Mus musculus: one gene and its partners. The protein of the gene in region 1 interacts with the protein of each later gene in a pairwise test. Links are inferred from orthologs where the notes say so. Each region holds a gene or a part of one and is shown in the gene's direction. Other genes may lie near its edges.

Evidence for each region.
Region 2: the proteins of Cul3 (region 1) and Rhobtb2 interact in a two-hybrid assay, tested with the Homo sapiens proteins (2 studies listed by BioGRID). The link is inferred for Mus musculus from reciprocal best matches to the Homo sapiens genes CUL3 and RHOBTB2.
Region 3: the proteins of Cul3 (region 1) and Abtb1 interact in binary tests that used the Homo sapiens proteins (3 or more experiments, as listed by UniProt). The two-hybrid records come from large-scale screens. The link is inferred for Mus musculus from reciprocal best matches to the Homo sapiens genes CUL3 and ABTB1.

The regions. Positions count from the first base shown.
Region 1 is NC_000067.6:80,262,608-80,269,221, reverse strand, and holds the end of Cul3 (cullin-3), read left to right. Parts: coding exon 1-12; intron 13-1,934; coding exon 1,935-2,066; 3' UTR 2,067-4,299; downstream 4,300-6,614. UniProt on the Homo sapiens protein: Core component of multiple cullin-RING-based BCR (BTB-CUL3-RBX1) E3 ubiquitin-protein ligase complexes which mediate the ubiquitination and subsequent proteasomal degradation of target proteins.
Region 2 is NC_000080.6:69,793,854-69,800,699, reverse strand, and holds part of Rhobtb2 (rho-related BTB domain-containing protein 2), read left to right. Parts: coding exon 1-82; intron 83-918; coding exon 919-1,022; intron 1,023-2,375; coding exon 2,376-2,561; intron 2,562-3,407; coding exon 3,408-4,426; intron 4,427-4,681; coding exon 4,682-4,800; intron 4,801-6,645; coding exon 6,646-6,796; intron 6,797-6,846. UniProt on the Homo sapiens protein: Regulator of cell proliferation and apoptosis. It likely functions as a substrate-adapter that recruits key substrates, e.g. MSI2, to CUL3-based ubiquitin ligase complexes for degradation. Required for MSI2 ubiquitination and degradation.
Region 3 is NC_000072.6:88,838,108-88,844,953, reverse strand, and holds the start of Abtb1 (ankyrin repeat and BTB/POZ domain-containing protein 1), read left to right. Parts: upstream 1-3,018; 5' UTR 3,019-3,129; coding exon 3,130-3,185; intron 3,186-4,053; coding exon 4,054-4,116; intron 4,117-4,188; coding exon 4,189-4,244; intron 4,245-5,182; coding exon 5,183-5,327; intron 5,328-5,463; coding exon 5,464-5,623; intron 5,624-5,723; coding exon 5,724-5,769; intron 5,770-5,992; coding exon 5,993-6,109; intron 6,110-6,197; coding exon 6,198-6,316; intron 6,317-6,475; coding exon 6,476-6,574; intron 6,575-6,668; coding exon 6,669-6,836; intron 6,837-6,846. Other genes in the region: Podxl2 (podocalyxin-like protein 2), read left to right, coding at 1,268-1,447, 1,957-2,187. UniProt on the Homo sapiens protein: May act as a mediator of the PTEN growth-suppressive signaling pathway. May play a role in developmental processes.

The DNA.
Region 1 (6,614 bases):
TTAGTAGCAGAGGTAAGGACACTTGAAGCTTGGGTCAAACTCATTGTCACACAGCACTGCTCACCAAGAGCAAAATACTGTACATAAACACCTGCATATCAATATACCTTTATAAACAAAAGACTTGTATTTCTGAATATTAGTACTTTTTTTTAAGAGCTTCTTAACGTAACTTAGGGAATCAATACTCATGAGAAGCGGTTAACATAGTTAAGTCTTGAGAAGTAGAGCTGACAGTACATTAACCTATGATGGCGATTGAGAAGGATGGGTTTAGCCTCCTGAGTTTCTGGCTTGAATGAGTAGACAGAAGTTGAGCCCTTAACTACCGAGTAAGAGAGAATACGTGCTTGTGTGGGCCATATCTTAATTAATAAATGGACAGTTGACTTTACTATATACTGACATATGCATGGGCAGTCGATTGTGGCACTAAATGTCTGTAAAAAATTGAGAAGGCCAGATGTTGAATTGGGAACTCACTTTGTATGGAAATACAGTCAGAACTGAGTCTATATTAAGTTGCTCAGGAGTACCATAGGAAATAACAACAACAAAAAAAGCAGTAAGAAAGAGCCCATATTTGGGAGCAATAAGAATGCTTAATGAATGACACTGAGAAGAAACCAACCCTTTTAAAGGGGTTCTTTCTGAACCAGCTGTGCTAATGTCACAAGTCTTAGAAGTAGAGGTTCCTGGACCACCCAGACTTAACTGAATCAGAAATTCTAGAGTCAGCAATCTGGCCTCTCACAGGCTCTGCTTAGGTGATTATGAAATGTGTTCAAATCCAGAGTTGATGTTTTTGAGAGTTAATTACAATTTAGACCTTGCAAGGAAGGAGAATAAATGTAAAATCTGTTCACAGTCTGTAAGATAGAGTTAAGGATTGGCAGTTTCAAGTGGGTGGTAGCAAGATTTTTGTTGTTGAGCAAGGTTTTTGGTTCTAGAATGGTAATTGTAGAAGGATGATAGATTGTAGTTGGCATAGTTAAGTGCTAAAATTTGACATTTCAAAGTATTTCCAATAATTGCATGTTGGAAAATAGCCTTGATTAACAAGAGTAAAAGAAAATCTGGCTCATAGGATGAATGATGAGTCAGGGTGGATTATTGAAATGACCATGAGCTTTGAGGACAAAGGTTTAGATTCCCTCTGGTTCTGTCACTAATTGTTAATACCAACTTTATTTCCTTTGTAAAATGAAACAGCCTACCTTGCAGTTAAAAATCTGTCTCTGTCTCCGTGTGTGTGTGTGTGTGTGTGTGTGTGTGTGTGTGTGTGTGTGTGTGTGTAGATAAATATTGTGATTAACAGACTGGCTGCTACAGTGAACGTTTTACTGGTAGAACCATACTTAAGATCTGACTGTGACTAGAGCAAAGAATGCCAGAAGTTGCTCTTAGTATTGGGTGCCATTGCTGTAAAGGATTTTATCTGTTAACTCATCTCTGAGATCCCAGAGCTGGACTGAGATGAATCAGGAATTTAAACCCAGGCAGTCTGGAACCAGGACTTTTGCTTATAAACACGCTATCCTACCAGGTTCTGTGAACTGGGAAGGTAACCCAGAAGTTAATAATATCATCAACATGATTAAACTATATTCTGGTATGTATTCAGAATACTGAAATCTAACTAATCCTCGTTAGCATCCATATTTTGACACAAAGAAGTATGTTTTTAAACATCCATTAAATTTTCAAGTAAAAGCTTTAAAATTTTTGTACTTTTTCTTGTCTAGTTCTTACCTCACATCCCCAAGTACTAAGATTATAGGTATTAGGCACCATGCTTGGTGCATCTAACTTTTTTTAAATCAGGTCACTAAATTTTTCAGCTTTAAATGGCATGTCGGCTCTAGTAAAAAGATAGGGATTTTTGTTTGTCTATGTGGAAGTGTTTTAGTTAAGACTTTACTTTTTCTTTTTAGGTAACTCAGCAACTGAAGGCTCGATTCTTACCAAGTCCAGTTGTTATTAAGAAACGTATTGAAGGACTTATTGAGAGAGAATATTTGGCACGAACACCTGAGGATCGCAAAGTATACACATATGTAGCATAAAATGCATTCAGAAATTTGATTTATTCTTGGACTGTACTCTTCGCATGGACTGGGAAGTTCTTTTAAATCATACTATTAAGACGACCATCTCTTCTGTTAAATTGCAGTACGTGTTATAGACCACTCAGATCAAGCCTCTACTCCCTCTGAGAGTTTTCAACATCAGTTGATTGAGCTTCAGGCTTTCCAACGTTATCCCTGTAGAGATCATCTTTACAGTTCCTCGGGAAAATGTGAATGTGCCGCGTTTTGTTTTCAATATTGTATGAAAACAGGAAAAAAATAAAACAAATTTAGAAAACACAGCTCATTAAAATAAAATTGTTGGATTTCATTTCCCCAGGTCTTCAGTGTTGATGTAAATGTGTTTCTGTAGTGTTGCTTATTAGCACTTTGCGCATTGTGTAAGTTGGGTAGCAAAAATGGCAAAAGAGATGCAAAATTCCCAGTTATCTTGCTCTGCTTGTGACATTTCCTTCGCTGGTATTGTTTAAAGGTTTGATACATATACAAAGACCCAGGCATACAATTGGCGCATGCTTTATCCTACCACTTGCACTTCCTAGTCTCACAGCCTTATGACCAAGGACCTTTATTTGGACATCAATACATACCCTGACTTGTTTTTCTCTATTGTAATCTGAGGTTTTCCAAATTAAGTTCTAAGATTATTAGGTTTTGCTCTGAGTTATTTCTAGAGAAAGAAAATATTTTAGTATGTATAAATTGTACAATAATTTTTTTGCTGTTGTACTTACTGCTAACAGTGGATTGTATAGGGTGGTGTTTTTATTTCATTTATTGTAGACAAAATAAATAAATTTAGTATTCACATACACACTAACTCAAGTATGTCAGAGCACAAAGGTGGCAGCTGGTTCTATTTAATTTAGTTCCTTTGAAAAGCACATCCATCCATTCTACCATTTGTTTATAAATATATCCCCCATCCCCCCACACACAGTTTAAATATATATTTTGGTGAAGCTGTGGTACACCATTAATTGTTTCAAAATGCAATCTAAAGATGCAATAAATAGAGTACCTTGATAGTTTGAAGGAATTCTTCAGTTCTTGCAGCTGTGTTTTAGAAAGTGATTAAGCAATATTTTTCAAACGTGGATATTTAGCTATCCATTGTCCTCTGAAGAGTCCTTTTCATGTTTTCAAAGATGTGCTTTGTGCTGAAGATTTGTGTGTCCGTTCCTCTGTGCTTCCAACTATCACTGAAGTCTTCTACCTGATTGATCTGCCAAGGATTATAGTTTGCTTTAACTTCAGAGTATTTTTATCTTCCATTTTATTTAATTTTGTTCCTTTTTCTTTTCTTTCAAGATAATGTTTTAGATATGTAATTGGGGAAAACCACTAGATTTCTGTCAAAAAAATGAAATGTTACTGAATTCAAGTAACCAACTCTCCATTGAATATCAATACTGTTGATATACTTATTAGAATGTATGTCTCAGAAGATGGTTTCTGTTAAATATATGAAGTTACAATTACTGAATTCTAATATGGATTAAAAGCTCCACATAAATATTTTCCCCATGCGTCTTGGATTATAATTTTCCTTTTAGACTTGCTTTTATTGCATTTAAATTTGCTTTTATATGTACTGTTAATTTTAAGTCTTAGGATCTTAATCTCTACATGTTCTCCACCTTTCCATGAGACAGTAAAGGTGTGGGCAGTACGGACAGGTTCTCGGTGCACCTTGCTGTGCTTGCACAGGTACGGTGGGACACTGATGGATTGCTTTCTGGTGTAAATAGAATTTTTACGAAGGAAGCTACTTTTAACAGTTTGGAAGTGAAGACAGCTCAGCTGTACAGATTAGGTCTAATGTATATGTAGGGACATAAAGGTTTGCTAATTGTTCTGGTAGATGCTTGCTTCTGAGTTAAAGTAAATGTATTTGTTGGGCAATGCTGGCTCTGCTACCTTACAAAATTCATGTGATGCATTTGGTATTTCTCAGCAATAGGTCATTGACATTTTTATCCTCTAAATGTTTTAAAAGAATAATGTGATGAGATTCTTTTTTGTGACTTGAATTTTAGGAAAGATGGATAATTTTTCCAGCTATAAAAAATGATGTCATTAATTGTTAAGTTATTCTTTGCTGTCATTCTTTGTGGGACAGCATTTTTTTATTTGTCATTTAAATATTGAAAATTTATTCCAATTAGGAAACAGCTTCACAAAATAAAAAATATGGTTGTAATTCCAAGGATTCTTTATGTCAGTGAACTACAAATGGAATTAAAGGGATGCATGTGTGGGGCATTGTGAGCACAGGGCAGGAAGGCACTGGTTCAAGATCTGGAAGATACTAATACGCCTTTGCAGTGAGATTCTCAAGAACAGTGAAGTAGCGCTGACGTTTGTTTCCTCAGTATGCAGGACAAACAGAAAGGCTTAGGTAAGAGCCAATGCTCTAAAGATAATGTGTACATTTCCAGAAACTAGCACCCTTACTGACACCTTAATTTCTCTATTTGGGTCTAAATTTTAGTATATTTAGTCTACACAATGACCTTTTCAGGTTAATTTTGAATATCCACTTTGATCAAATAATACAATATCTTGCCCTTGTCTGTCTACTGCCCTTTTGAGAGTAGCCTAAGTTTTCATGTTCCATGTTTTACACAGCATAAGGCTCTCTCATCTTAGAAGGAAAACCTTTGTATTATTTGTATTATGTTTTGCCCTATATGGTACTTCTTTATGCAGTAAATATTTTATGTTCTATTGATAAGAATGGAAAATCTAAGTGAAACTAAATTATTTCTAGTCCTGAGAAGTCACACAGGTGTTTACTGTGTGCAGTCACTTGCGAGCTCTTTCTGATGGTTATTTAGTTGTCATGTCCTCTGACTTAACCATTATGTAAGATAGCTGCTGAAAAATGGCCAAGCCAATATTTAAACCTTGGTTTGATTCTAAGCTAGTACTCTGGAGTTTATGTCTGCGTCTTGTGTTGCAAGTGGATATATATGGTTTTCCATCTAAATCTGTCATTGTGTACATCATTTGCATGAAGCAGTGGATGATGTGTATCTCGGTATGGAATTCTGCATGTTTTTGTTGGTCCATGTTTGCTGATAACAACACTAGGCAAGAAGCAAGAATGATGGTGGCTGCTATTTTGGAACATGTCCATTTAAAGGATCCTGTACTCTACATTTCTTAGTGTGAGGATCACAAGGTAAGTGGTTAAGATCTACACTTAATTTTTTTTCTCCTTATTGCATGGTTTTCCATTCCAAGTCAGTTTTCCAAAAGGTACAGGACACAAAATGACAGTGAATTTAATGAGTCATAAAGCTAGCTCTTAGAAGAAATTGAGCAAAGCTTCATGTAATGTTCTTAGAAATGGCACATATGTAAACAAGACTTAAGTAATTTCTTCCTTAATATTTGGGTCTAACGATTCTGAGGGGGCCTCAATGAAATGACTTACAGTATATGAGAAGCTCCAAGTAGTGTGTGCTGTGTTTCTAGTTAATGAAGTAAAGTTTAAGCATTCTAATAAAGTACAGCTCATAGAGCATAAAGCTTTAATGTGCACAATTCTTGCAGTGTGAAAAATTAAGCTTCTGAGTCTCCAGATTATTTGTCTGTTATGATTGCTGAGTGACAGAATCTGGTGTGGTGGATGTGATAAATTCAAGATGTGCTTTGCCATTAGCAGGTAGGTAGGTAGCTACAAGTCTTAGAAACATTCAGCTTTCTAAGTTAAAATCTGTAATAAAACTCAGACAAAAACAGGTACAAGACAGTTCACCCTCAAAAATTTAAGGTGACACTATCAGTATTAATTCAGGAGCTTTATTTGGTGCATTTAACACAACTTATAATTACAAAATCCACTTTGCCTGTGTAAGTGAACAACACAGACACCTTATTGGCTCTCTGAAAGTCTTCATTCTATTTGGACCATAGAGAGGTAGGATATGTTACCTTTTAAAAATTGCAAATGGTTTTAAGTTGGTAGGCAAATGTTACAATAATTTCATATCATTTATAATCTCACAATCTTTCTAAGTAGATTAGATTTCAGTAAAAACTACCTTCTAAAGTAGTCCCCCACCCTTCCTGGGGTAGGGGTGTGCATAACTATATTACAATTAATATGCATGGTGCAGGATTTCATGCAAATGAAGTGTGATAGCAGCATTACAATTTAAATGCATTAAAGGAAAGGATAAATGCAGAAGCTTGCTGTTGGCTTAGATTATTGGCTTCTAGAAACTTTACTGGTTTAAAAAACAGAGCCTGGAGGGTGGGGGGAGGTGTGCAAAATCTCACTAATAGGACAGTGCTGGAATAACTCTTCACTCTAAAACATAACCTCACTCTAAAGCCTATGGGGTTGGGGTTGGTTTGGTTTGGTTTGGTTTGGCTTTTTCAAGACAGGGTTTCTCTGTATAGCCCTGGCTGTACTGGAACTCACTCTACAGACCAAGCTGGCCTAGAACTCAGAAACCCACCTGCCTCAGCCTCCCAAGTGCTGGGATTAAAGGCGTGTGCTACTGTTGCCCA
Region 2 (6,846 bases), on another chromosome or scaffold:
TGCCACCCTCACCCAGTACCAGTTGCTTGCCACCCATGTGCCCACAGTGTGGGCCATTGACCAGTATCGTGTGTGCCAGGAGGTAAGACTACAAGGCCCCTTGGTTGGGGGCCCCCGTGCTATGTGTGTTGAACTGGCTTGGTGTCTCTGGAGCTCCTGAGAGCCCCTAGGGGTGGGGTCGAGGTGGATGAAGCAGATGGAGCCTCTGGAGAGAGGTCTGAGGGAAGGTCACTCCCAGGGAGGTATCTCTGACCATTTGTGTTTGCAGTGATATTCAGGTTACTGTTTCTATTGCTGGGATGAAAAACCATGACCAAAAGCAAGTTGGAGAGGTAAGGGTTTGTTTGGCTTACACTTCCACACCATAGTCCATCACTAAAAGGAGTCAGGATAGGAACTCAAGCAGGGCTGGAGCTGATGCTGAGGCCATGGAGGAATGCTGCTTACTGGCTTGCTCCTCATGGCTTGCTCAGCCTGCTGTCTTATAGAACCCACGACCACCAGCCCAGGGATGGCACTACACACCATAGGTTCCCCAGTCAGTCACTAATTAAGAAGATAACCTGCAGCTGGACCTCATGGAGACGTTTTCTCAAGTTAGCTTCCCTCCTTTCAGATAGCTCTAGCTTGTGTCACGTTGAAACGAAACGAGCCAGCACAACTAGGTAAGGCGGTGGCTAGGATTCTGACTTTGGCTGAGAACCGTGTCTGCAATCACAGTCCAAAGTAATAACATGTTCTTCTGCAGCAAGGAGTGTGCTCTTTTAAGGTCTCCCCTGCTTCCGCTCAGCGTGGAGATTGCCAGTGATTTCATGTGGGCAGCAGGTTGTACAAGACACTTGTACCAGTCCTGTCCTCCCCATCAGTTCTTGGCATCTGTTCCCAAGAACCACTGTCCTGTCTCCCCACCATGCCCAGGTGCTAGAACGCTCCCGAGATGTGGTAGATGACGTCAGCGTCTCCCTGCGCCTCTGGGACACCTTCGGAGACCACCACAAAGACCGGCGTTTTGCTTATGGAAGGTAGGGAAGGCCTTGGGGGCTTGCAGTGAGAGGAGGGGATGCGGTGGTGGTGGGCATTCCCTGGGGTGGAAGACGTTCTGGGCTCAGAGGCATGGTGCAGAGTCCCAGCTCTGCAACCGACTAACTCTGAGCAGCGCCGGCATGGCTTTTCTCACTGTGAGTTGGCGATCAGTTCTTTCTTCCTTTATTTTCTTTTTTCTTTCAATGCTGGATATTGAACCTAGGGCCTTGTGCATCATAGGCAAGTGCCCTACCACTGAGCTATATCTATCTCTAGCCCTTTGCAAAGCAAAACAAACAAGAGAAGAACCATATTTTGAGATAAGATCTTCCAGTGCCCACCTCACCCAGGCAGCCTTGAACTAGAAGTTCTCTGCCTCAGACTTCCCAAATAGCTTGCCTGTAACACCAGGTCTGGCAAAGTAGGAATGTGTGTGTGTGTGTGTGTGTGTGTGTGTGTGTACATAGATATGTTTATTGGCATTTACATGTTCATGTGTGTGCAAATTTGCAGGGAGGGTGTCTTGTACCTGTGTGTATATCTGATGGGCTGAGGTAAACATGTCTTCTTTACTCTCCAACTTAGGGTTTTTGCTGTTGTTGTTATTGTTGTTGTTTTTGGTTTGGTTTTGGTTTTGGGTTGTTGTTGTTGTTTGAGACAGGGCTTTTTTTTTTTCTTTTAAGATTTATTTATTATTATATCTAAGTACACTGTAGCTGTCTTCAGATGCACCAGAAGAGGGTGTCAGATCTCATTATGGATGGTTGTGAGCCACCATGTGGTTGCTGGGATTTGAACTCAGGACCTTCGGAAGAGCAGTTGGTGCTCTTAACCACCGAGCCATCTCTCCAGCCTGAGACAGGGCTTTGTACTGAACCAGGCACATACAATTTTGGCTGGTCTTGCTGGATAGAGTAGAGAGCCCCAAGGATTCTACTCCTCCTCCCCCCTGACACTCCACACCCCACCCCACCCCACCCACTGTCGCTGTGGCGGGGACAAAAATGCCTGTAGCCATGCTTGGCTTTTTCCGTGAATGTTGGAGCACCGGGGATCTGAACTCAAGTCCTCATGCCTGCATGGGAGTCGCTCCCTCCACTTAGCCGTATCCCCAGCTCCAAGCGATCGTTTTTTTAACTCCTGAGATAGCTGTGTGGCCAAGCGAATCTCTGTGCTTTAAAATGCCTACGTAAATTGTAGTCACGATTATTATGTACCGTGCGGAAACGAGTTCTTAAGGCAGGGCTAGGTTGTAGTGGGGGGGGGGGGGGATAGGGCCAAGCCAACATGTTTTCCTTTTTCCAGGAGACCACCATGAGCTTTCTGTGCCGCTAACTTTTCTCCCCCCACAGATCCGACGTGGTGGTTTTGTGTTTCTCCATCGCCAACCCCAATTCCCTCCACCATGTCAAGACCATGTGGTACCCAGAAATCAAGCATTTCTGCCCCAGAGCTCCTGTCATTCTGGTGGGCTGCCAGCTGGACCTGCGCTATGCTGACCTGGAAGCCGTTAACAGGGCCAGGAGACCTCTGGCTAGGTAGGGGTACTGGTGTCCAGGGAGAGAGGGAAGGGACATGGGGACAGGGTATCACTGTGGCTCCCTGCTCAACCAGGAAGGAGACCCACTGACCCTTATATTTCTCCTTTCACTTGGAACAAATTCACATCAAAATCAACAACAAACATGCTCATTCATTCATTCACTCACTCACTCACTCAATTCATCCTTCTATATCATTGTATACCCCCTATGGGGACGGTCTTGTTCTGTATTCCATGAGGAAAGACAGAGAGGAGAAGACGTGTGTGTGTGTGTGTGTATGTGTGTGTGTGTATACACATATGAATGAATGGGTCTTAGAATTCTGCAGTGCTAATATAGTTGGCTCTTCATATCATGAGTTCCATAGCTGTGGGCTCAGCCAGCTTGGCTGTCCTGGAACTCACTCTGTAGACCAGGCTGGGCTCGAACTCAGAAATCCGTCTGTCTCTGCCTCCCAAGTGCTGGGATTAAAGGCGTGAGCCACCACTGCCCGGCCCACAGTGACATTTTATACAAGGGACTTGAGTTTCCATAGATTTGGAATCTGAGGTGTACCCTGGAACTGATCCTCTTCAGATACTAAGGGATATCTGTCTGTCTGTGATTAAATGCCAGTGTGAAGCTTTTGCATGCGGGTTACCAGAGGGGGAGGTGCAGCCCCTGCTTCGAACTGGGGCAGTCAGTAGGGTCTAACATAGAAAAAATGAAGCTTTCCTAAAGGACCGGAGGGCCAGGCAGAAAAGACAAGGACAGATGCGGGCAGATCCTCCCACCTGGAAGAAAATGGCCAGGCTCCTACCATTACCAACACAAGTTTGTTCTCCCTTCTTTATTCACCAGGCCCATCAAGCCCAATGAAATCCTCCCCCCAGAGAAGGGTCGGGAAGTCGCCAAAGAGCTGGGGATCCCTTACTACGAGACCAGTGTGGTGGCCCAGTTTGGTATCAAGGACGTCTTTGACAATGCCATTCGGGCTGCGCTCATCTCCCGCCGCCACCTGCAGTTCTGGAAATCACATCTGCGCAATGTGCAGCGGCCTCTACTGCAAGCACCCTTCCTCCCCCCCAAGCCACCGCCCCCCATCATCGTGGTGCCCGATCCCCCCTCCAGCAGCGAGGAGTGCCCCGCCCACCTCCTGGAAGACCCGCTCTGTGCGGATGTCATCCTGGTGCTGCAGGAGCGCGTGCGCATCTTTGCCCACAAAATCTACCTCTCCACCTCCTCCTCCAAATTCTATGACTTATTCCTCATGGACCTGAGTGAGGGGGAGCTGGGGGGCCCCTCAGGGTCAGGGGGGCCCCGCCCAGAGGACCACCGGAGCCACCCTGAACAACACCACCATCATCACCATCACCACCATGGGCGGGACTTCCTGCTTCGGGCAGCCAGCTTTGACGTATGTGAGAGTGTGGATGAGGCCGGCGGCTCTGGTCCGGCTGGCCTAAGGGCTTCAACCAGTGACGGGATCTTACGGGGTAATGGAACAGGGTACCTGCCAGGCAGAGGACGTGTGCTGTCTTCCTGGAGCCGAGCTTTTGTGAGTATCCAGGAAGAGATGGCAGAGGATCCTCTGACCTTCAAATCCCGGCTGATGGTGGTGGTGAAGATGGATAACTCCATTCAGCCGGGGCCCTTCCGGGCTGTTCTCAAGTACCTGTACACAGGGGAGCTAGGTGAGAATGAGCGGGACCTCATGCACATTGCTCACATTGCCGAGCTGCTAGAGGTCTTTGATCTACGAATGATGGTGGCCAACATTCTCAACAACGAAGCCTTCATGAATCAGGAGATCACCAAGGCCTTCCATGTACGCCGGACCAACCGGGTTAAGGAGTGTTTGGCAAAGGGCACCTTTTCAGGTATGGGACACACTTAGAAGAAGGGGTTCTCTCCAGGAAAAATTTTGAGGGGTCTAGGTTATCCCCTTATTATTCGGAATTGCCATGAAGATATGGCTGTCCTGCTCTCAAGCTAATAGCTTGATGATCTGCAGCCTGTTACTCATATCACATGGCTCCAGAAGGCAGGTGGGTAGTCAGGGCCCTGTGACTGCTTGGGGCCGATTCTCCAGCATATCCACTGTGTCCTTACACGATGCCTCTTCTCCTGGACAGATGTGACCTTCATCCTGGATGATGGGACCATCAGCGCCCATAAGCCCCTGCTGATTTCCAGCTGTGACTGGATGGCTGCCATGTTTGGGGGGCCATTTGTGGAGAGTTCTACCAGGGAGGTGAGGCTGGAGATGGGAAGGGAGACGATGGGAGAGGCATTTACATCTTTGAATTTGAGCATCGGTTAATGGTACTTCCCTGGGCTCCAGTCATATTCTAAGCCCAGTGTAGACCCAAAACACGTTTATAAGATGCTTCCAATAGCCAAGGATTTTTCAATGTTCCAAGAGAGGAAATTACAGTATCTTAGTAGTTTGGAAAGCTCTTTCATATATATCTCATTTAATTTTTCCCAGATGTACATATAGCAAGCCGAACCTGTTATATGCAAGAAAGGGATGCCCTGAGAAGTTACGCAACTTGCACAAAGTTATGCAACTAGGAAAAAAAAAAAAAAAAGAGGGTAGGTCTGGAACTTAGGATTGACAGTTCCTTGGTTCCTTAATTGTACTCTGTGGCTTCCCTAAGACACATGGGAAAGCCTCTGTTCCAAGCTGAAGTGAGCAGTGTCTACAAAGGTTTTATCATTGTTGAGCTATGGAGAGACCAACAGATCAGGAGAAGATGCCACTGGCAAGGTGGCTTGATAGAGATCCCAAGGAGGGTAAATGCACCCCAAGAGAGAAGAGCGGGAGTCAGCCAGTACATAGAGGTGGAGGTATTCCGGTCGTTTGATACCTGACTCTTGGGTGATTGGTATAGGAAATGGTAGAGAGGTGTGTGAGTGTGGAAAAGGAGGTCCACTTGCAGGTAGCTCCTTTGCTAGCTCTAGAACTGGCTGGCTAGGCTACAAAGGACCTCCCAGGCTCTAGAAGTCAGGGCATCCAATATAGAGTATAAAAGCACATAATGAACACAATCCCCTTTCTCTCTCATCATTGCCCATCAGCTGACCCACCTTCCTCCTCACTTGCCACCCTCTTGGGTACCAGCTCAGCCTAGAGTTGGAAGGGGTTTGTTGATGAGCCCTTAGAGATGTTCTCCTGCATCCGGTCCCTCTTCTGTCCTCCTAGACAAGCAGAGTAGCCCGGTGACAGCCTTTGGTGTTTTCCATCATCTCTGTCTCCTGCTTGTCTGTCATTTCTTTGAAGTGGGGGGGGGGGTCATGTTATTTGACTTCTGCCAGGTACCCCTACTGCCCCCAAATTCCCACCCCTTCAGACCATGCTCACTAGATCCTTGACTGAAAAAACCAAACCAAACCAAAACAAAACAAAACCAAGGACCATCAACAGTCATGCTGGGTGAATTAGAAATGTGAGCTCCCTAAGGCTTCTGGGAAGGGTAAGCTGAATAGTTAAGAACTGGACTGGTCTCTGAAGTGGGAGAAGGAGTTGGACACAAAGAATATGGCCAGGATTCTTAGAAGCCCCCCTGAAGGGGGCCTGTGCACCCTGGGCATTTCTCAGCACCACAGACACACATTTTAAAGCTCTACCCTGTTCTCAGCAAGCCTAGAGTGAAATCCATCTGATTAAAAAAAAAAAAAAAAAAAAAAAAGCAGGTTTTGTTTCTGTGCTGCTGTGAGGTGATCCCAGTGGCCCAGAGCAGCTGAGCTGAGCAGCCAGCGGCTCCCTTTGCTCACTCTGTAGCCCACTTCAGCTCTTCCCTGCAGGCACCGGGGACTCTGGGGAGTGGCTGACCCAAATGGCCCCCTTCAAGCATCTTCCCTGCCAGAGTGGCTTCAGGGAGTTACCAAGAATCTAGGTCCCTTTAGAAGGCACCAGCGCCCCTACTCCACTAATGCTGTCAAGTCACTGAGCCAAGATTATTGGGGTTCCCTAAGCAGGTTCGGGAACAGCCCAGAAGGCTGATGCCCACCAAGTCAGGTCTTGATCTGTCACGATGAACTCTGGGCCACCCTGGACTTCATGCCACTTGCCTGCTTCTTTCCCCGTCCCCAGGTGGTGTTTCCATACACAAGCAAGAGCTGCATGAGAGCTGTGTTGGAGTACCTCTATACAGGCATGTTCACCTCCAGCCCAGACCTGGATGATATGAAGCTCATTGTCTTGGCTAACCGCCTCTGCCTGCCGCACTTGGTTGCCCTCACAGGTAACTAACTGTAGTGTTGTTCAGGGACCTCCCTGGGGCAAGGTCACGGA
Region 3 (6,846 bases), on another chromosome or scaffold:
GGGCTCTGGCCATCCCCAGACACAAAGAACAGGTGCAGGTTACCACCCGAGCAAAAGGACTGCACACCCCCAGGCCACAGTGAGCGATCGACCATCAAAGAGGGGATTAAGTAGGATGGTATCTGAAGTATCATGAAGAACACGGTGGGGGGGGGGGGGGGGGACGACGACAAGATAGGCCCCGCCCCTACCAGTGCTTCTCCGGGGGAATCTGAGGTGTGGGGTGGATGCAGGAACTGGAAACAGCCCTCTATAGTCAGAGGTAGCACTGATCAGATGTGGTGGTCTGGCCCCTGCTGGGCTATGGGACACAAAGCTGGGGATCTAGATAGCCCAGAGCTACCAGGGGCCTTGCCTGAGTGACTCCCAAAGCTCTCGTGGTGGAACTTTAGATCCCCAGCAGGAGCCAGAACACCACATCTGATCAGTGCCACCTCTAACTGTGGAGGGCTGTTTCCAGTTCCTGACATCCCCCACCCCTCAGGTTCCCCTGCAGCATTGGTGGGGCGGGGCCTATCTTGTTTCCCCTCGTCCAGGTTCTTCGTGATCTCCAAATCTGGGCTCAGGAACACAGATGGACAGAGGGCACCTGCAAGGGTTCCACACAATGCAGGGAGGAGCTGGAGCCCAGCCCCTGCTCCAGAGCTCACTGATGGCACTCACCTTCCTCGGCTCCCTCCCTTCACCTGAGGCTGGACTGTAGGGAGCTTTCCCATTGGGAGGGAGTCCAAGCCAGCCAGAGCAGCCTGCAGTAGGGAGGCACATGCCGCCTGTGATCTTACCACTGGGAAAGGGAAGAAGCTAGAGACCCCAGCTGTGGGCTGCAGTTGGCATCCCCACAGAGGTTCCAGGGATGCGGGGCCTAGCATGGATGGCTAGGGTGACATTACCTTATGCCTAAAGATGAAGCTTGCTTCAGGCCTCTGCCTTTGGTGAACTCAAGTCTCCCAGATGCCATGTTGCTTTGTGAAACTGATGGGGACAGGGGTGGGGCCCCATCTATTTGGGCCGTGACTGTCATCACGTCTCAGTGATGTGCAGGGCCAGAATTGGTGCATTCAAAGTTGTGTTGGTGTAGAAACACAGTGAGGAAGTGAAGGAGCCAAGAATGTGGACCCTGGGAGAGGCTTGGAAGTGTTCTTGGATGAACCAGTAGGGACAGAATGGTATGCCCCTCTATGCAGGTCCAGGCCCCAGGGCTGTCAGGGGCTCTAACTCACCCTTGGAATGTTAGCTCTTAGGGCTTTCCTGATACCCCCACTCTTAGATTGGCATCCAGAACTACTCCACCACCAGCAGCTGCCAGGCACGAGCCACCCAGGTGCGCAGTGACTACGGGACGCTCTTTGTAGTGCTGGTGATCATTGGTGTCATCTGCTTCATCATCATTGTGCTTGGCCTACTCTACAATTGTTGGCAGCGCCGGATGCCCAAGCTCAAACACGTGGTGAGTAGGCCAGGGAGGGCTTAGGACTGTAGGGCAGAGTGTGGCTAGTATCACCCAGTGCTACCCAAGAGCCTCACCTAGAAACCTGTACCAACTCAGTTGTGCTCAGTGCCACCATCTACCCTCTCTGAGCCTGGTCTTCGAGGAGATACACAGTGAGGGGGAGTTAAGTCTCACCAAGGGATCCCTCCTCTCCTCCAGCTCTTCCTAACCCCAGTGCCCCATTCTGCAAGGCTTGAGAGCAGCTGCTCCCCTCAGTCCTAGAAGCCAAAGGCTCCTGCAACCTGCACAAGAGAAAGGGGGCAGGCCCTGCACATTCTGCCCTATCTCGTATGCTTTGAGTGGGCTGTCTCATGTATAATGCGCTGTTGGAAGGGATCAAGTGACACCAAGGGGGTCACAGGGTTTACCTGCAGAGGTTTAGGTTTGAGTTGCAGGCACTTGTATCCTGGGCCCCAAGGGAGTAGTACCCTGGGGGCTTGGCGTGGCCAACCACTGTGCGCGCCTAGCGCTCTCTCCTGCTGCTGCAGTCGCACGGTGAGGAGCTGCGCTTCGTGGAGAACGGCTGCCACGACAATCCCACGCTGGACGTGGCCAGCGACAGCCAGTCGGAGATGCAGGAGAAGCAGCCCAGCCTGAACGGTGGGGCCATCAACGGCCCGAGCAGCTGGAGCGCGCTCATGGGCAGCAAACGCGACCCTGAGGACTCGGACGTGTTCGAGGAGGACACTCACCTGTGAGCGCCGGGCCACGGGCGCGAGACTGCCCGACGCCACGGCCCCGCGCCCCTCCCGGTCCTCCACGCGGACCACTATGCTTCCCCACCGCAGCAGGCGACCGCGGCGCAGCTCCCACCCCGCCCTGCCCGGCCCCGAGCGCTTGCCCGAGGCCAGCGCGCTCCCCGCGCCAGGACTCCATTAAAGCCGCTAAGACGCGCGGGCCGCTCCGCCTCCACGCCTGTTTTTTGCCTTCCGAGGGCTGCACTCCGGGGAGTGGGTGGGATGGGCCTGGAGGAGTAGGTGGGGCAAGGGAGGCTGGCTGGGCGTGGCCAAGGACGGGTGGGCTGGGAATTTCATGGAGTTTGTGGGCGTGGTTAGGGATATGTGGGCGGAGGGTAGGGAGTATAAGGTCATCTGGGTGGAACCAGGCCGGGTGGGCTGAGCCTGAAGTAGGCTGGGAAAAGTCCTGGTGGGCGAGGCCTCGGCCTGATGTGCGGGACCTGAACCGAGCTAGACTCAGGACTGACAAGCGTTCCAAGCCTGTGGGAGGTGCTGTTTTCAGAACGGATCCCAAGAAATGTGGGCGGGGCCTGCAGCGAACTGCTCTTCCGGTGAAGCTCTTCTGAGGAGGCGGGGTCTTGGTAGTGAGCTATTCTTCGGGCGAGTGGGCGGAACCTGGGGGAATTGAGTTGTCCTCTAGACGGGTGGGCGGGGTGAAGGCTAGAAGTCCCCAGAGGCTAAGTGGGCGTGGTTAAGGTTACTGGGTGCGGCCTTGGGGAGCGGCCTTCTGGATGCGAGGGCGGGGTTCGGGCCGGACGGTCCTCCGGGCGGCAGGCGCCGCTGCGGAGTCGCAGGCGGGCATAGCTAGGCCGTGCCGCGAGGGGCGGGGCGGTGAGTGTTTACATCCGGCCGGGCACAGACGACTCCCGAGATCACTCGGCCGGGGGTCCAGTCTCTTTCGCCATGGATACCAGCGACTTGTTTGCCAGCTGCAGGAAAGGGGACGTGGGCCGTGTGCGGTGAGAACCTGAAGTGCAGGAGGCGGGCAGGCGTCCGCAGGGCTTATCGGGCACGGGTGTGGGGTTGGGCGCCGTGGGGCTCCCGAAGCTGACCGAGTCAGGGAGATCGGGCTCTAGGTCCCTTACTTAGCTCGGTGCAGGGAAACGACTCCTCTCCGTGGAGGTTCCAAGAGGCGCAGGCGCCGCTGGTGCAGCCAGTTACCAGCCTGGCGCCGAGACCGTGATCTCCGTGGGCAGGCAGGGAAGAGAAGGATCCTGACCCTTTTCTTTGATAGACTCCTTTCTCCCATGGCCCTTCCTTCCAAGTCCCCTGGTCCTCAACAGATGTGACCAAGCTGCAGCTCTCTCCGACACCAGATGCCACCTCAGAGTTAATGATCCGTCCCTCAATTTGAATGCAGCTCTGAGAGTTCAGGTCTTGCCTCAGATAGCCTCCTTGGGCTGCCATGTCCCAGTGATCGCTTTCTGGTTCATGACCTCTTCTCCTCAACATTTTATCAATTGTTTTTTCCACTTCTTCCATAGATCTGTTCTGTTCCCCTCCTTCCCCGCCCCCAGTGCCTGCATCAGCTTTCTTCTGACTTCCCTGCCATTGGCTCCCCAGGCTGAATTAGGGGCCCCATCACCTTCTCTCTCCCAGATATTAAAAGACCAAATTCTCAGCCTTCTGAACCTGGGGCTTGGCCTCTGTCCATGAAGCCATCACCCAACTCACAGTTGCAGACCCTTGCAGACCTGTGTAGTCCCAGGCCTTACCCTTCTCAGAGGCATTCCCTAGCCCAGAGAGATGTGGCCTCCTTCCCCTTCCTGGTTGTCTCTCTCCCAGATGAGAAGCAATTCTGACCCAGGCTTTGAACTTCCTGCCCAGGTACCTGCTGGAGCAGCGAGACGTGGAGGTGAACGTGCGGGATAAGTGGGACAGCACCCCTTTGTGAGTGTGAGCGGTGGGGTAGCTGGGTGGGCAGGGTGGGCCTACCCTACTGACAGCTTCCCCCTTTCCTAGGTACTATGCCTGCCTCTGTGGGCATGAGGAGTTGGTGCGCTACCTGTTGGCTAATGGTGAGAGAGGGTCAGGGTCTGCCTGTAAGCTCTGAGACCTTGCTCCATGTTTGTATGCACCCTTGATTTCTTGTTAACTCCCTAAAGTCAACACATAGTACTCTCTAACCCTCTATCCACTTTCTCACGTTACCCTTGACACCCAGGCCAGTTCTGGGGCTGTCTCCTGTACTGTACCACCATTGGTCTGCTAAACTGACTCTCTGATCTCCATATTTGCAGGCAGGAGGATCTTTCCACAGCAAAGCTGATGGGAGTGTTTGGGATAAAAGCACGTGGGCATGGTTGCCCACACCTGCAATTAAATTATTGGGAGAGAGAAAAGTCGAGACAGGGATTATCTTAAGTTCAAAGCTAGTCAGGGCTACATTGTGAGACCCACTCTGACCTCCTCTCACTTTGCCTTCCTTGGGTCTCCCACCTGCTGGCTGCCCCACTAGACCTACCCATCTCCTACCTCAGGGTCTTCTCAGTTGCAGTACTTCCTGCTTAGACTGGAGTTCCTTCCTAGATCTATGCATCTCCCGCTTCTTTCAAGTCCCTGTGCTTAGCCACCTCACTTCACAGTTCTCCCCATGTGGCTGCCACTGCCATAGTCACCCTTGGTTCTGTTTTGTAATAATGCCGGCTGTCATATAATAAACTATGCATGGGCTCCACTAGGTTCAGTTGGGGCAGGGATCTGCTAGTCACCAAGATGGCTATTTACAGGGCCAGCCCCTCAGTCTGGCCTTAACTGCATATAGTCCAATATTTACATGTGTATTCATGAGTATGCCTACATCTAAGTGCACAGATTGTATGCCTTGGCCTTCCCAAGGACCGAAGGGTTGCCTGGGCCTCTGTGGCAAGGAAGGGCCTCTGGGGAGCTGGGGAGGCCAGAGATCTCCCCAGACTAGGTGTTCCCTTGACTCTGACTGATGAGCATTGCTTTGTAGGAGCCCGCTGTGAGGCCAACACCTTTGATGGAGAGCGGTGTCTCTACGGAGCGCTAAGCGACCCTATTCGCCGTGCACTGAGAGACTACAAACAGGTCACTGCGTCCTGCAGGAGGCGGGATTACTATGACGATTTCCTGCAGCGGTGAGCTGGGGGTGGAGCTTGCAGTACTGCTGGGGTTGCTGGGCACTCTCAGTGGGTTCTGGTGGGTGGGTTTGCTGAGTGGTCCTGGTGCGCCAGCAGTTGTCAGGATGATGCAACCTTTCCTGGCTTTTCCCAGGCTTCTGGAACAGGGCATCCACAGCGATGTGGTCTTTGTGGTACACGGAAAGCCGTTCCGGGCCCATCGCTGTATCCTCGGTGCTCGCAGTACCTACTTCGCCAACATGCTGGACACCAAGTGGAAGGGCAAGAGCGTCGTGGTTCTCAGGCACCCCCTGGTGTGTCCATCTGCCTTGGGAGAGAGTGCCAGTTTCTGGGAGAACAGATAGTTCATGCTGGGTGGTAGCCTCTGACCTTCCCTTTCTACTCTGCCTGCAGATCAACCCGGTGGCCTTTGGGGCTCTACTGCAGTACCTGTATACAGGTGACTGACCGACCCCGTGGGCTGGGACAGCAGCACACCCAGGGTGGCCCAGAGCTGATGTCACCTTTGGGGAGGAGGAGTGTGCCCAGCATGACTTAACCTGTTTGGAGAGGACAGGTCCCATCTACAAATTGAGCAGGTCTTAGGTCCTTCCGGATGAGAAAACCAAGGTATTGAGTAGGAGTCACTCTCAGGTCCTGACTCAGCCTCCTCAATCCCCCAGGCCGCTTGGACATCGGTGTAGAACACGTGAGTGACTGTGAGCGCCTGGCCAAGCAGTGCCAGCTGTGGGACCTGCTGGATGACCTGGAGGCTAAGTGCGAGAAGGTGTCTGAATTTGGTGTGTACAGGGTCTCAGTCCAAGGTCTTGGGTTACAGCCTGCAGCTCTGGTCCACCTCTCTAAGTCCCTGCCGTCTTCTCCCCCCAGTGGCTTCCAAGCCTGGCACGTGTGTGAAGGTGCTGACTATTGAACCTCCTCCAGCAGATCCCCGGTTACGGGCAGATATGGCCCTGCTAGCTGACTGTGCCCTGCCATCTGAGCTGCGGGTATTGAAGGGCATGCCAGCTTGGTGGGCATGATGGGTGTCTAGGGATGGGGCTGTGAGGGGCAGGTTCCACAGAGCTGGGTTCCCTTCCTAGGCCAACCTAGAAGCTACTTCCCTTTCATGAACGGCTTTGCTCTGAGTCGTCTCTTTCCTATACCAGGGTGACCTTGGAGAGCTGCCCTTCCCATGTCCCGATGGCTTCAGCAGCTGCCCCGATATCTGCTTCCGAGTGGCTGACTCCAGCTTCCTCTGCTACAAGGTACCTGTCCCACCCCTGGCCGCGCTGCTCAAGCCCTGGGCTGGCCCCTTGGGGCAGATTCGAGCCCTGGTCCTTTGTGACCTTGCTTCCTCAGGCTTTCTTCTGTGGCCGCAGTGACTACTTCCGGGCCCTTCTGGATGACCACTTTCAAGAGAGTGAGGAGCCTGCAGCCTCTGGAGATCCCCCAGTTGTCACCCTGCATGACATCTCCCCGGACATCTTCATTCACGTGTTGTACTACGTATATAGTGACCATACCGAGGTGAAGTGGC